Caenorhabditis elegans: one gene and its partners. The protein of the gene in region 1 purifies or fractionates together with the protein of each later gene. This does not show direct contact. Each region holds a gene or a part of one and is shown on either strand. Other genes may lie near its edges. The genes, in order: srh-199, leo-1, F46G11.2 and ZK673.6.

The links.
Region 2: the proteins of srh-199 (region 1) and leo-1 fractionate together in Caenorhabditis elegans (co-fractionation; one large-scale study listed by BioGRID). This does not show direct contact.
Region 3: the proteins of srh-199 (region 1) and F46G11.2 fractionate together in Caenorhabditis elegans (co-fractionation; one large-scale study listed by BioGRID). This does not show direct contact.
Region 4: the proteins of srh-199 (region 1) and ZK673.6 fractionate together in Caenorhabditis elegans (co-fractionation; one large-scale study listed by BioGRID). This does not show direct contact.

What each region holds. Positions count from the first base shown.
Region 1 is NC_003283.11:1,749,473-1,753,432, forward strand, and holds srh-199 (Serpentine Receptor, class H), read right to left. Parts: upstream 2,078-3,960; coding exon 1,750-2,077; intron 1,705-1,749; coding exon 1,514-1,704; intron 1,042-1,513; coding exon 529-1,041; downstream 1-528. Other genes in the region: ZK697.1 (Serpentine Receptor, class Z), read left to right, coding at 3,324-3,763, 3,816-3,880, 3,924-3,960.
Region 2 is NC_003282.8:11,327,063-11,331,055, forward strand, and holds leo-1 (RNA polymerase-associated protein LEO1), read right to left. Parts: upstream 2,308-3,993; coding exon 2,252-2,307; intron 2,205-2,251; coding exon 1,808-2,204; intron 1,761-1,807; coding exon 1,587-1,760; intron 1,540-1,586; coding exon 1,445-1,539; intron 1,397-1,444; coding exon 1,297-1,396; intron 1,245-1,296; coding exon 914-1,244; intron 844-913; coding exon 704-843; 3' UTR 559-703; downstream 1-558. Other genes in the region: B0035.21 (Kinesin motor domain-containing protein), read left to right, coding at 294-397, 444-507; sart-3 (Spliceosome associated factor 3, U4/U6 recycling protein), read right to left, coding at 2,702-2,817, 2,870-3,164, 3,214-3,327, 3,385-3,722, 3,770-3,993. UniProt on the Caenorhabditis elegans protein: Component of the PAF1 complex which is a multifunctional complex involved in transcription initiation via genetic interactions with TATA-binding proteins, elongation and transcription-coupled histone modification.
Region 3 is NC_003284.9:5,786,401-5,790,854, forward strand, and holds F46G11.2 (uncharacterized protein), read left to right. Parts: upstream 1-1,760; 5' UTR 1,761-1,762; coding exon 1,763-1,829; intron 1,830-1,884; coding exon 1,885-1,982; intron 1,983-2,572; coding exon 2,573-2,670; intron 2,671-2,725; coding exon 2,726-2,842; intron 2,843-2,897; coding exon 2,898-2,990; intron 2,991-3,035; coding exon 3,036-3,198; intron 3,199-3,253; coding exon 3,254-3,350; intron 3,351-3,398; coding exon 3,399-3,595; intron 3,596-3,636; coding exon 3,637-3,852; 3' UTR 3,853-3,945; downstream 3,946-4,454. Other genes in the region: F46G11.6 (ZP domain-containing protein), read left to right, coding at 128-296, 444-616, 672-812.
Region 4 is NC_003280.10:10,462,302-10,466,217, forward strand, and holds ZK673.6 (uncharacterized protein), read right to left. Parts: upstream 2,030-3,916; 5' UTR 2,019-2,029; coding exon 1,945-2,018; intron 1,900-1,944; coding exon 1,743-1,899; intron 1,682-1,742; coding exon 1,513-1,681; intron 1,466-1,512; coding exon 1,257-1,465; intron 936-1,256; coding exon 864-935; intron 816-863; coding exon 642-815; 3' UTR 566-641; downstream 1-565. Other genes in the region: ZK673.11 (Protein aurora borealis), read left to right, coding at 36-102, 226-367; sdz-37 (SKN-1 Dependent Zygotic transcript), read left to right, coding at 2,569-2,997.

The DNA of each region.
Region 1 (3,960 bases):
ACAATGATGAAAATTGTAATAAGTTTGTTTTGAAACGTTTATTTTCTAATTGTGAAAATCGTCAAACCTTTCCAATGTTTGTTTTCAACTCCAAAAGAACAACTCATTGAAACAAAATCTGTCATGTCATGATCAGTTTCAAAACATCATGTACAATTGGATGCGTGATGAACTGTCTTTGCGTTTTTCATGGGCGAGAGAGTGAGTTTTTTAAACCGAATTTGTACTCAAAACGTACTCAATATGGCCGAAGGGGACTCGTCATGCACAACAAAATGCGGCCTTACGCAAAAATAGCAAAGTGATTTTTTTTTTCCAATGGAAATTTTTATATGGCCGGGTGAAGGGTCTATGTCAAGCAGTTTTTTTTAAAATAAATTATTTCAATTTTCTAAAACCCTTTAAAACTCAGTTCTGAATATTCATGAAGAGGGAAAAAAATTCTACACACATGGAATGCTTAAATAGTGCAACTGAATATCATCAATTTTCTCGTTACTTTACGTATTTATTCACATCATTAACACATCAACCAGGTGAAATATGAGCTACACGAGCCGAGCACCTGTGCAACCGCTTATCATTTAAGTTTTGGATCTTGGACAAGGTTCTTGGTGTTTTTTGAAACGTATTCAGAATTGTTTCCCGATAGGGTTGATGAAGTGAAAGCATTGCAGATGTCGAAACAAGTCCATGCATAGCGATAATTGTGAATGCAATATTAAGATATCCTTGATTATAATATTTCGTTAAAATTGTTATCACAACGTAGATTAGTGGAATAATAAAGAAAACTGATGGCACACAAACTTGAGAAATGAGTGCTATAAAAAACTTTTTCTGCAACTGAAACGTTCTTTGAGACATTGTTTTTCCTTTCAGTTGCTGACGACCGCTCCGAATAAGATATCCGAAAAAGAAAATCACTTCGAAACAAATAAGCACATGCAATGAGAAAATAAATGAAAAATGGTAAGTGATGTCTTCAGCAACCACGTAAACCGGACCATCGTATATATATCTAGGTAGACATGGAAGGTTCTGAAAAGTGGAATTTAATATTTTTATAGGTGAATTAGCGCCAGTGGGGAAAATGTTAAAAACTACTCATATGGCGTCAAAATTACCGAATATCTCAATAAAACTTTTCAGAAAAATTTTGGAAATTTTTTATTTACTGTCAAAAAGTTACAATTATTTAGTTTTTGCCACTCATAATTTTGGAAGTCGAGCAAAAAAAACAAATTTTTTTCTATATTTTTTATACTGTAATTTTGTTTTAATTATTTGTATTAAAACATTGTAGGGGTCGGAACATGCGACATTGCTTTGGATTTCCTCAAAATCTCATATTTTTTCAAAATTTTGGCAATTTGCTAAAACTTTGCCCGGAAATTATGAAAAATCTACAATTTTTCGGAGTATTTTTTTAAAAGATATTTGGTTGTTTTGGATCATTTTAAACAAAATTCCCACTGGCGCTACTTCACCTCTAATGAATTTTTTTCACAACCTGAAACACGTATTGTAGTGCATGTGTCTGTTCTGGAACAAAACATTTTATAGGAAGGATCAGCAGGACCTCTATTACATAATGCCCAGCTAGCCATACAATCCTCCAAAATTTCCACGTATTTTTCGAGGTGAACGAGCAAATTTTATAAAACCTATTTTCGAAAATCGAAACTATTCCGTTTAACATAACTATAAATTTGTCTCTTTCTGGGTTTCAAGCAAAAGGTCACTTACAAAAGTAAATTATTATAAAATATATTGACTGTGCAACAACTGACATTCCTGTGAGACGAAGCAGACCAAGTGGAAAGCCCGCAGCAAAAGGTGATAGAACAAAAGGGACTGTCATAATTGTATAGGAGTAGTCAAATATCATAACATAAATATGCAAAATTAGCATGTACCATTTCACACTCCTCATCTGCTTAGGAGTCTTAAAAATGATACAGTATAGTCCAAGAAAATGAATTGGTGTAGATATTCCTGTGATAATGTGCATATCTGTCAATAAGAAATCAGGAGTGTCTATATAGGTTAGATCCGGTATACATGTATAGTTCATTATTGTTGAATTGAACAATGTTTAACTTTTTGAGAGAAACGTTTATTAAGTTGATGGCCACGAATATTCTCAAAGAAAATATTTGAATAGTTAGTTGCTAAAAAATCGATCATGAATTGCTTGGCTGTCCTGACTAAAGACATTTCGTTTCGCGCAGCTGAAAACTATTTTTCGTCATAATGTCAGCAGATGAAAAGTAGGTGAAGTGACTAATGTTTGAAGATAAACTGTTTAAGAAAAATTTTTTTAAAAAATTTTTACAAATATTTGAAATTTTTTTATTTACTGTCGAAAGTTGGCAATTACTCAATTTTTGGCACTCATAAATTTGGAAATCGGCCAAAAAAATTGTTTCATACATTTTTTATACTGTAATTTTTATTTATTTATTTATTTATTTATTTATTTTAATACGATTCCATACGAATCGTGTCACAAGAAAAAAAACACAAAATAATACACATAATACACATAAAAAATCATAAAAAATATTTTTGTTTTAATTATTCGTATAAAAATATTGTAGGTGTCTGAACATGCGAAATTGCTTTAGATTTCCTCAGCCGCCTATATTTTTAAAATTTTTGGTAATTTGCCAAAACTTTGACCGGAAATTAATAAAAATCTAAAAAAATTTTGGAGTGTTTTATTATGATACTTGATCGTTTTGGATGAAATTCCCACTGATTCCAGCTGTAAATAAAAATTAAAATTTTATCACAAAAATCTTGTGGAGTACCGAAATTTGAGACTTTGCTTTTTTAGACGCAAATTGGTCCAAAACTACCAAATTTCGTAATGAGACGTTCTGAAAATTTTTCAAAAAACGTTATGGCGGTTCAAACTACTGCAAAAAAGATCCATTTTCAGCTAAAATCAAAATTTTTTCCAACTTCTCGGTGTCACAACGTCTGGAACCTAATTTTTATTCATTCATCATTTTTTAATAAATAGTGTGGCTTTTGATTAAGCGTTTATTCGTTGATTTAAGTACATTTATGGTCTTTGGGGCATAAATGAAAGTTTCATTTTGTGCCCCAAATGTATATCAACGAATCAACGAATAAACGCAAAAAAAAATCTCAAATTTCAATTTCAAAATCTCAATTTCTTTTAAGTTGCAGCAGTTTCTATGAAAGTTTGATTTTTTCCGAGGGTACTCTGAAAAACTATTCACCTGTCATGGTGTTTTATAGCCTCATGCTACACTTCAAAAAGCTTCAACTTGTAATTTCTGAGTTCTACCATGGAGTTTTTAATTTTTGCTGCACGTTCATACAAGGAACATGAAAACAGTCTTGACACATTGTTTCTTGACGTTATGGATGTTGTAATGCTTTTCATCCACACTACGAACTGCATATTCTTTTTATTATTACTGCTTTACAAACGAAGAAATAGGAAAGCAGAAAAACGAGTAAAATTCAAGGAATTTCATGCTCCGATTTTCCAGCAGCTCTTTTTCATTGCTGGTTGCACTCTTTTCATCAACAGTATAAATCTTTTTACTAGATTGATTGCTGATAGAGAGAGTAATTATTCTCTTGCAGCGATGCTTACTATCGCACTGTTCATTTATATTTCTATCGGTTTCGTTTTCGGATGCATCATATCGTTTACTTTTCTGGCTACTATGCAGCGTATTTTAATTCTTCACTTTGCGCAGTACAAATGGCTATTAATAAAGTGAGTTACATATAGAGTACCTTCAGTATTTTTGTAATAGTGCAAATCTCAGATCACAACTGAACATCGCAATATTTGTAGTTTATTGTTCAATGGCGTCTTACTCAGTTATTAATTGTATGTTTTATGAAAAAAACGTATATAACCCAATTAAATTTAGACAACTTTTATCTTCAAAAAGAGTCATTATTGAAAAC
Region 2 (3,993 bases), on another chromosome or scaffold:
AGGGCCACAAATATCCTCAAATCCATTTTAATATTCAATGAATACTTTTTTCAATTTCAATTTTTTTAAATTTTAAATCTTTCGGACATAGTGGTTCCGTGTATATTATAATATGATTGATTCAAAGATTTGTTGTTAGATGTAAAAATTTATTAGTCAGTTTCTTTATCAAACGTGAAAAATCATTTCCTACATTTTCCACAAAGATGTTTAAAATACTCTGGAATCAAAAGTCAAAACCTATAGTTTTTCGAATTTTAATTTATGGAATCTTCTTTCAAATCATTATATTGATGTTTTTACTGCGATCGAGAAGCTCTGGAAATCAAGAAGAAGCTCAGTTGATATTAAATGTATCGATTTCCCCAAGAGCAATGGAAAACGATAAAACACGGAGGTTTGATTTTGAGAATTCTGAAATCGTAGATTATTTCAAGTTTCAGAATTTATGATACGACACTTGATGCCAATTCTTTGAGAAGCGAGGAAGACGTAGTGGATGTATGATTTTAAATATTACATACAATCTGATTGAAATTAAGAAATAAAAGCTCGGTTTTTCATAATATTGTGGATGTTTCATTATCTCGAAATATCGAAGACTAAAATAAATAAGGAAAGGAAAACATTTTCGAAATATTGTAAAGGGAGAAATATTGAATTCGCGAAATATAAAATTGTGAGGATCAAAATTGAAATAAATTTAGTCAGATTCTTCGTCACTGGTGACAATCTGTTTCTTTTGTTGTTGTTTTCTCTTTCGGTACTCTTCATCAGAATCGCTATCCGATCCGCTTTTCTTTGTGGTATCCGCATGATCGTCCTCACTTTCTGAGCTGGCACCTGAAATATATTATTGTAGTACAGTTTCTTTATTCTGGTAAAGTCCTAATCAAAATTAAATTGAACTTACCAATAATTGGTGCTTCCTTCTTCTTTCCTTTTCTGGATGACGTTGGCATATCTTCATCATCAGAATATTGTCCTGCATATCTCGGACCACGAACTTTAAAGTTATTCCGAACCATCTGAGTACGTCGGATGTGTGCACGAAGTGATTCTTCCTCCTTCCGGGCATTCTCACGCCGTGTAATTTCCGGATTCTGACCAACATCGTCCATGACTTTAACTTGAGCATTCTTCCTGCTTCGATCTGCCATATTGAGTGTGACTTTTCTGTGAGTTTGGGAATCAGTCGAGTGAGGACGGAAGGTCATACGATGTGTAAGAACAGCTTGAGCCGACTAAAAATGACATAAATTTTGATTAAAATAAAAACATTAACAATCAAAATACCATTAATGTTGGCTGCTTAACGTAAAGATGGGGAAGATTATTGGAATTCAGCGGCACCAATGAGACTTCGAAAATTTCGTTTCCGAGGTATAGAGACATTCTGAAATTAAGTCACGATATGGAAATTTTGCATCAATTGAAAACTAACGTTCCATCGTCCCATTTTACAATTTTTGCATTACTCTCTCGAATTTCTTTTCCATTTTCATCTTTGCGAACTCGCCAGCGAAGTGTATTTTCCACCTTAAAAATTGTATATTTGATGAGATGTATTTATAACACAGACATACTCTCAATTTGAGACGTGTTCGTCCTTCATCATCCAATTTCGCCTGCTCATCATCTTCGTCTTCCTCGTAATGTTGTGGATCAAATGGATGAGTGGCGACTGATAGAAAGTTTGGCATTCTGACAAAATGTGGTGGATCTGCAGCGTACTCCAAAGTAACACGACCTGTTACCATCTGGAAAATCAATGTTTTAATCACATTATTTCATTGAAAATGTTTACTTCAGTATCATGAACATGCTCCTTTGCTTTTTCATCTTCATCTATTTCATCTGGATTAGCCATCACAATTCCTTGCAAATCATTCAAACTTCCACGACTCTCCGCATCGGAATCTGACAATCGTGCTCTTGTATTTGATTCTTTCGGCTTTCCTTCTCTGTCGGAATCATCGTCGGAAGAGCCAGAGAGATCACCGAACAAACCACCACCAGCACCGGGGGAACTCTTTTCACCTCCTCCTCTCGGATGAATGTTATCGTCAGAAGAATCGGACAATTGTCGAGGAGCAGGACGAGAATCATCATCATCGTCGGACTCATTTAATATCGCTCTTTTCTTAGACGGTTCTTGTTTTTTTGGTGAATCTGGCGACGATCCACGAGAAGATGGAGTTGATCTGAATTGAATTATATTATTTTAGAAACACAATTACCATTTACTTACGATTTAACTGGTGTTCCTGGTGCAGAAGCGTCAGAATTACCCTCAGAAGATGACATCTGAATTGAAAATATTGCATACCTAAGTTCTTTGAATAGCGAAAGTAGCAAAACAAAGTAATAATTTGGGGTCGAATATACCGATAAAAATTGAATAATAAAAGTAGTTGTTGAAAATTCAGATTTTCTTATCCATAGGCAATAAGTTGAAAATGAATATTGGGGGATCTCTATTACAAATTATTAGCAAACAAAAAGAAAACAAGGATTATGAACAGTTATGAAACTAAATCTTGCAATTCGTAGTGAAGAACAAATATAATTATAGCGAGAACATCAAAAATAGCATCTACCGGAATTTTAATTGGAAAGGAGACACTGGGGAACGTAATAGAAATTAAATAACTAAATGAATCTTGATATGAACAATGAAAGTTTCTGGTGAAAAACGGCCCTAATTTTTCATAAACATTTTACGGAATTGATCATTTGAAAGTGGCTGAGACGTTGAAGTGCCTTCGGAAACATCCATTGCGTCCAGCCGAGCAGTGATTTGAGGAGTTTTGTTTGCTGAAAATGGATTTTTTTATGCTAAGCTGGGAACTAAAGATGATATACTTACTAATAGCTCTGGGAACCAATTGCAGTTTTGCAGCATGTCCTTTTCTAGGTCCATCTTCTTCCAAACTTGCTCCAATTGCTGCTGGTTTTCCATGCGATTTATCCTTTTTTACTGGTGGATTGGATAACGCTACCTCTAGTTCTCTTTCTCGAAGCATCAATTTATCACCAGAAGCAACACATTTTTGAGCACTTGCTTCTGTGTCAAAATCTACGAATGCGATTCCTTTTGGTTTTCCATCTTTATGAGTCACGCGTCGAACACTGGTTACTGTACCGAATTTCGAGAATAATGCCTGAAATGTATCGATTTAGAATATAAAATGATAGATAAGTATATATTACCTTTAACTCATCGTCGGTTGCCTGGAAGTGGACATTGCGAACGAAGACTTTCGATTTTTCAAGAGTGGTTGAGAATTTGAATCCAACCCGTTTTTCTGGATCGTTGGCGGAGATCTGAATTTTCAGAAATTAAAATTTCACAAATATTTATAAAGTAAAATTAAAACTTACAAACATTGGCCTTCCCTTCACAGGAACTCGATCTTTCAAGAGAGCTTGCTGTGCCTTCTGATCATTCTCCATTACAACATAGGCGAACCCTCTGTGCACAAGATCCGAATTCGCTTTTCTTGCGAATCGAATTGAAGCAACACCTTCAATGGCTTGTCGAATTTCGTCTTCCGTCGTAGTGAAATCGAGATTAGAAACAAAAATTGTGCGAGCATCTTCCGTTCCTGGAGCTGCTTTCTGAACTGCAAAGGAACCTGGAGCTGGTGTCGACGAAGCATTTGAAGAGGATACAGCTGATGAACTTTTCGCATTGGATGGTGGAAGTGGAGCTTTGAATCCTAAAATTTAATTCAAATTAACTTCTTTACTTTTAAAAATTATTTACCTCCGTCGTCTCCTTTCACTTTTTTTACAATTGGTTCACCTCCCGACGTTCTCTTCTGAATATGATCTTGCTTTGATTTAGGAGCTGGAGCTGGTTTCTCAGAAACTTTCTTTTGTGGTCGAATGGCTCGATGAGCAACCTGTGAATTCACTTTCTCAAGAACCAAATCCAACTCAGCCAATGTTCCTTCTTCTCTTTCAAATTGAACATAGTACATATAGATT
Region 3 (4,454 bases), on another chromosome or scaffold:
ATCAAAAAATTCAAATGTTTTATCGTCTACGAAAAGTAATAAATCAAGAAGAACACATTGTTCCGAACGCAATGACCTACTTGTATCGGGGTATCTCCAGAATGGAATGAATCGATCCAGCATACAAATGTCCAACCAACTTCTCGTATTCATACTTTTTCTTAGCGTTCTAGCGCCCACGCTATCCATCTATAAGTCAAAACAAAAACCGAACTTGTTGTCGAAAACTGTTGATAATAGTATAACGTGCGACTTTTCGATTCACAAAAAGGGACCTTATGGACAAGTTGTTTCAGGTATGCTTTAGTTCTGGTGTTTGAAAAAAGTTTCAGAAAATAACAAATTTGAATTTAAAAAAAAAAGAAGTTTGTAAAAAACTACAAACATATACAATGTCTGTCAAACAGCCTCTGTTATTGTTTCAAAAAGTTCAAAAATTTCAGGAGCATCTCTTGACGACGAGATTTACTATAAAATAAAGTGTAAGCCAATAACTGGAAATTGCCTCCAAGTTGTAAATTGCACATTGAGCTCGGATGAGCCAGGTTTCCAGCCATACCCTATTATTGATGATATGGGATGTAGCCTTGAAGAGTCACTGTTCAAAAATGTTCAGGTATCAAGAATTTAGGAAATTTGGAGAACAATATCTACAAAATGTCTATTTTCAGTATCCAAACCACTTTGAGGCGGGAATCTTCAATCCCTTCCCAATTCGGTTCCGTGCGTCGTCTGCCGCCGTTGTCTTGTTCTGTGTAACAACTGTGGTTCCAATTGAACATGGGCAGTGTACTCGCAGAAAATGTCAATAGATGAAGTTTCATGTTCATTTACTTTTCACTTCTGTGATTTTATTTAACAACTTCGATTTTAAATCTATGGTTATCTGGTGTTTTGTCATTTAAAACATTTTAAAGTACACGTTTTCATTGAATGAATAACATGCATATCACAATCGGAATTGTTTTTTTTTTTCATTCTCTCTGTGTACTTTCAAGCCAGACAAACATTACGCACGTATTCAGAAAAAAAGTGAAAAAAAAACGGTTTATGCAAATGTATCAGAATACCATGCAAACCAGCTGTAGTATTAAAAATTTGTTATATATATTTTTTACTTTCACTCTCTATCTATTTTTTTCTGTTTTTTGTCGGCCTTGAACTTGAACTACCTTTTTCCAATCATGAAGCAATGAAGCGAGCGTGGATTTTTTTGTTTTCCGCTGTGATTTGCTGTTTCTATCATCTCTATCCATGAATTGCATCACCGGATTGGAGGCGAAGTGTCCTACTATAACCGGAGTAATTCGATCGATCGATCAACCCTGCGCAAGCGAAATTTAGAGAATCTCCCTATGCGCTTGTTGAATGGAGATATATTAGAAATATGGTTGGAACACGCGGATGCGCAGACGAGTCTCGCAATTGACCGGTTTTTAGGAAAACTTTTCCCCCGCTTACCTCCGGACGTTCATCCTTAATACTGTTATTTCTAGAAGCGTCAGGCGACCTTTTCAATAAGTTCACTAAACATGAGTATGTCGCAAGGCGCATCATTTAATCACTTGATCCAGTCTTGGATCGTAGTTGCTTCATGCTTCATGACCCACCAAAGTGAAAGACTATATCATTTTATTCACCGTTTCTTATCATTTTCGTCTCTTTCTCACTAAATCGGTCACCGTGATCTTATCCTTAACCTCGTTCTTTATCTTTTCAATTAGGTGTTCAATTTTTTGTGATCACAAAGCCGTTTTTCCAGATGAAATGTTACTTACTTTTTCTGTTATTGGTACCTGTAGTATTATCAGAGCGAAGCAAAAGGCAAAGTAAGTTTTATTTTTAGCGTCCTTGTAAACCTAAGCAATCTTTCACAATTTTCAGTTTCAATTGATGACATTATATCCGGCGCATTAAGTCTCGTGAGACCGATCTTTGACACTTCAAAACCTATTCAAAACGAAGGAATGCTTAGAAAACCAGTGAGTTAAACCAGTAAGCTTAAACCAGTAAGCTCAAAATCAGAGTCAATTCCAGAACTGATCGAATTAGGTGATATAAATTGAATCACCAATATTGCCTGTAAGCTTCTTTGCAAGCTTAAACGGTGAGGTAAAACAATCTGGGAATTCGATTTTTAAACCCAAAATAGCTAGAAACCTCCGAATTTTGTAATGAGACGTACTCAAAATTCCTCAGAATTACTGAAGGCGGTTATAAGTACTGAAAAAATGACTGTTTTAAAATCTCCAATTTTGCAAACTTGACAAAATCAGAGCCTAAATCAAAAAACAGGACGTAATTACAAAATTACGCAATAAAAACTTACATCCACAAATGGTCGCGCAAAATTTCTAGTAAATCGAGTAAAATTTGAGATTTTAGTGAAAATTTACATTTTATTCAAAATTTAGAACCGCCATACCGTTTTTGAAAAAAATTTCAGAACGTCTTATCACGAAATTCAGTAGTTTTGAGCATTCTGAACTTTCCAATGCTTCAAAAATTTTGAAAATGACATACGCGAGCACGCGTAAAAATTAGTTCCAAATAATACATTGAAATTTTAAAGGACGCTCCAACTCAAGATGATATGCGCGACTCATCAATTTTGGGATCACACTCGAGAACTGCGTTAGATGATGTACCACTTTGCAAGGGGAATAGCAAGTAAGTAATTCGAATGTTTTGGAACTTTCATTTTTTTTTATTTTGGGAATTTCAGTATTTGCCGATTCATTTCGTGTTCTGCTGAAAACTTCAAAAAAGATCCGACATTTGGCAATATACAACTTGCTGCTCAAATACTTGGAGATGCTAAGCTTAGAAAAACTATCAGCAGGTACGGTTGTGCAAACAAAAAAACAAATATAATAAAGTGTAAATCAAATTTCCAGTAACTCTGATGCAGTTCACGCTGTATGCAAAGAACAAGGCATGGATGATGCGCAGTGTAAATTATTTTCCAAGGGATTCCAATTGATTGATAAGTATGTTAGCTTTAACATTGAAACTTATAGAAAAAATAAGTTCAGGTTCATGACATCTATTGAAAAGCCAACAGATGCAAAAGGCGGTGCACCTCCATCCACAGAACCACCAGTGACATCGATCCCCGATTTTGATGAGCCTACTGATGATGAGCCTCAAAAACCAATGATGGACGATCCTGCACAATTACAAGACGATGATAATAGAGTATGGTTTTCTTTTTCTCATTTTAGAACAATGAGAATATTATTAACAATTTCAGAAGCGCTGGGCGGATTATGATACCCCATCTATTACCCCGGTGATTCCCGTGCAAACAGCACACGGATCCAAAACGTGGAGTAGCAACCCTGAGACAAGTATGTTTATTTCAAGTAAGCTTTTCATTATATTTAAAATATTTACAGAATCATTACAACCGCTGGAAATCAGAAATGATCTTGTCTCTAGCTGGACTCAAATGCCATTTTTCGCGCCTCCAACTATTCCACCAGCCCCGCCGCTTGCTTTCAAATCTGTGCCTTCACTAATTTTACAACCGATTCAAGCACCACAGTTGGAGAATGGAATATTCTTCTCGACAGATAAATTCAATTTCCTCAAGGTGAATAACAACTTGAATTTTTAAAATCTAAATTTTTTCAGGACTTCAATCCGATCAAGCGATTCAGACGATCTCCTGATTACTACGATCAGATCGACGAAAAGAAGAAACCTTCAAAAACTTCTGATTCATCTAAAAAATCGTCTGGCAATACTGATGATTACTATGGAAACTTTGATAGTGACATAGATGAGAAAGATGAAATTGAAACCACCGGTCTGAAACAGTGCGTCCATTTTCTGGGACTTGGTGTATAGATCTTATCCACATATGTACAGTTTTTCTATCATTTCTTATTTTTTAAAATTTCAGTTGTTTGATTGACGGGTGTAATAAATCAAGATTCTTTTGAAATGAAAAACTTACTGAACGCAAAATTGGAAAAAAGAAATACTCTGGTTAATGGTCCTGTTTGGAAAATGTGTGATTTGATTTGGACAATAGGGCAAATTTGCATATCGATGTTTTTTTCCAAATCTGTTAGTGGAAGAACTGACTAATTGACACATTGTGACTGTATGTATATAAAAATTTTGATACTTCTGGTTTTTAAGTTTGGTTATGAGCACGTAACTGTAAACAGTTTTCTCATTCGGCAATATTCTATTTTTGAAAGAAAAACATTTTTTAACACTTTAAATAAAATTTAATGGCTGAAACTTTCGTTGTAAATAAATGTTGACAATTGGTGAAATAGTTCAATTCGAAAAAGTTTTGAAACAGAAAACTTATTTTTTAAAAAATCTCTAATTGCCTTTGGGATCACAAATGAATAGAAATTATTGAATTGAATCAGAAAAAGAAACAATTGAATTTTCCGAGTTTGAAATACAATTTTTGCGAACATTTTAAGAAGTGC
Region 4 (3,916 bases), on another chromosome or scaffold:
CAGTCCCCCTCAACAAAATTAAACAAAACTTTAAGATTCTCAAATCTTCGAAGCGAGTATATGCGGGGAATCTGATGTGGCATCGAAATTTCAGCTTCACAGGTAAATTGAGTTTTGTATTGATTCTTAGTTTTTTAATATAAAACTGAAAGTTATCAGAAAAATTTTTATTTCTCATCGGAAGATGCTTGCTTACTTTTAAATCAAATCAGAATGTATATTCAGAATCGAAGAAGAGTCCGAAAACGGCGATGAGCAAAGTTGTGCGGGAGCCCATGATCCACTGATCAACAGTATGACCCATAGTCCTTCTCAATTTTTTCCACGGAGTATCTCACAACAATTTGATATGATGAGACTACAATAAATGTGTTTTGTATTATTATAATTCTGCTTTGAAACGGGAACTAATAATATTGATTTATCAAATATATACGAGAAGTGTTATTGTGTGGTTCCATTCTTTATTCAAAATCACTCGTACTGGTGTGGATAAATATCAAATCATTGCTTTATAATTATTGTTCAACTGTTATGCTTTTGAATTAAAAAGAAACAAAATATGAAATTCCAATATATTTATTTCAAAGCCTTATATTAGAATTTCAATTATGATAATATCTTTTGTACACATTCAAACTTCATTTTTTCTTCAAATCTTTCACTGTTCCCATCATGCTCTTGTTCTTCTTGTTAGTGCTTCTGGCAACAGTCGTCGTCTTGCCCTTTTTTTGCTGTCTCTTGCTGTCTCGCGTCATCCATTCCTTTATAACGCCACTTCTAACGGCTGTCAGGGCGCTAATAACCACAAGACCCTGAAAATTAGAAATAATTTTCAGTAAAGGCTCAAAAATAAAACGAACCTGTTTGAAGTGGCGATTATGAAAATGTCGACCAGCTCGGACGTACTCCTTCAGATTGTCCAATTCACGGCACTGTAAAAATTGCACTTATACAAAAATTTTCCTTTCTAAATTTTCCAACAATATCTTGGGGATTCTTTCTACATGCCCATGAAAAGCTTTTAAAGTTGCAACAATTTTACAAAAGTAGTTGTGGAAGTTAACTTGCCCACGGGTTTTGTTTGACACTTGGATCCCGTTGCAGTACGTGATTTTTTTTTCAATTTCAGAAAATATGTCGTGACACTAAATTACAAAACAGCACGTATTGTTGCGATTTCCAGATTTCAAATTGCGATAGACCAAGTCGTCAAGCTTTGCCAAAAAAATAACAAAACTCCCTTCTAAATTCACCTGTTCATCTAATGTATGCACTGCCTTATGGTATTTTGTGCATTGATCTCGAAGGTCTGGAAGAATCTGTGTCTTTTCCACTTTCTTTCTTCTACGATTGCACGTCTTCACAGTTTTCTCCACATCACTGTACATCTTCTTGATCTTATCACAATAAAATACTGTCGTTGTGTAGATGTTTGAGTCATGGTCCACATTTTTGATATCATCTGTAAAAAGTTTCAATAGAATAGGAGAAATAATTTTGTTTTCCTACAGAAATGTTGCTCCTCCTTGTGGCCCATTTTTTCACACAATTCCGCAATCATATTGGCTTCCGCCTCGTTCTTCTTGATGAACTCGACCTTCTTCAAGTATGCCGGCATGTATCTCCAACCGCTGTTGGGAACCTCCGTTTTATCAGAGAAGTGATAACTTGTTCCCGACTGAAAATTCATGCATTAACACGTGTACTATTTGAGTTGGCTCCGCTATTCAAAATCTTACAATGCACATTTTCTCAAGCCCGACGGTGACGCCTTGCATGACATCAAGGTACTTGATAATCCACTCAATATCACTGGAGAACTGTTCGTTCAGGTTAAATTGATCCTTGTTAAGAATTTTACCGACGAAGTTCGCGTCCTCTATCTCTGAGCTTTCTCTATAATATCTCAGATTGCGAAGAATAAAATTCTTATGAACTTACGGATTATTAGACTTTGGGTTCTCTTCAGCAAGATTAGATGGGCTCACAGGAGTGCTGGTCGGCAAATTTGACATTTTTGAAAACTGATTGAGTATTGATTTGGAATACGAGATTGAGTATTTCCACGTTTGTCTTCGAAAAAATAAGTTTTCACGAATAAAAATTAATAATCTATTTTATTTGTTTTTTGTAACTAATTTTTCTAGCATTAATGCCAATTGGCGAAAAATATTTCCGAATTCGCTGGTCCAATGATCCTATTCTCCAAAAGCAACATCTTTGCTCAGTTTTACTGTTGTTGACCCCATAAATTAGCTATTTTCCCAGATATGCCGGAAATTGTGTTCATTTCTAATAACCTTGTTTGCCAATGTTATCGTCACCCCGTCTGGAAAAATACCATCGTAAAAGGTGCAAGGCATCCCCCACCTATAATTCCTTGTGTCTCATAGTGGGAAGAAGGTCGGCCCCGCTGGATAATAACCAAATGGGGCGTGGTCTACCGGACCGTATATATAAGGACAACCGGAAAGAAATAGTATCATTCATTCTGGAAATCTTCCAGTTGTTAGCTACCCAGCTCTTTCTTACCGTCTACCCTTTCTCTCAATTCTCACTGTCAAAATGGAGTACTCTCAAATTCCATCCTTCGCATTCTACAACAATGCTTCCATCTTTCAATTCTTCCCTCGAAACAAGCGTCTCAACACTCATCAGAAATCTTGCCTTGATGAGCATGCTCGAAAAATGGCTGTTTTCATGATGGAGAGGCAAGAAGAGTACCGTTACTACGAGAACTTGGCCAATCAGGAACAATTCTCCGATGATGCCTGCTTCAGTGACACTGGAATGGACTCCGGATTCTGCAGTGGAGCCACTTCAACTGGACAATCAGCTTCAACTTCTCCTGCTCCAGCCCATCTCATCCCAAATCCATTTTTTGATCCAGAATATGTTGCCAAGGCTCAATCTCCAGTGAAACTCGTTGCCAATCCATTCTACAATCCAGAACTTGTCAAGGAAATCAAGAAGAAATCCCGTGTTTCAGTTTAATATTATTAATTATTTTTATTTATTTTTCCTCAAACAGTTTAGTCGGTTTTTCTGATATCCAGGTTCGGTTTTTATAATTGTACTTTTTCTTGGAAATGATTACAAAATTTCTGTCCGGTATTTTTTCTGTATTGGTTTTCTCAATTTTTAACAACTGTACTTTTACTCAATTGTTTTAATAAATTAATCAGACTAATTAAAAGTTGTTTTTCACTTCAAACGACCACGCTTTCAATACTAATTGAATACAATACATTTCTGAATAAAATTTTTTTGCTAGTTCCACCATCGAAAATTCCAATTACTCCAATTACTTTAAGCTAGTATTTTGTAGCACATTCGTTTTTTTCAAAATTTTCAGATGATTGATTGATTTATTTAACATAACTAATGCAATTTACAACTGTACAATTGAATTTTGAGTGTTAAATAAAACGGTAAAACGAGACTAACCCAGAAAGAGTACGTCTCGAGTTTGGGACGGGAAAGGAGAGAGAGGGTAATGTGGTAGAAGAGATCAGTTAGAAGTCAAAGAGAACCAGCGGATAAAAGTTAATACCGGGGAATATTGAGATCGAGAAAACTTGAAAACTGATAGGGGGAGAGAAATACCGGTATATTTTTGACAAGATTGTTCCAAATAGGAATGGATTTGGCAAAGAAATGAGAGGTGCATGTGTCTTTCCTAACCAGAATCATGGGTCTCCTATTGGAATTAGAGAACTTGACAAACTGAGTTAATTTAGAGAAATGAGTAGAACCGGTAAGAAGTCTATATAATAGTTTCATTTGAGCTTTAATTCTAGTGTGTCTGGTGGAGAATAGTTCCATGATGCACAGTCTGTTTTCGTAAGAGGTGAATTTAACGTTGCACCTTTGCAGGACGCGGTTGGTGAAGGTCCTAAGCGGTTTTTCAAGT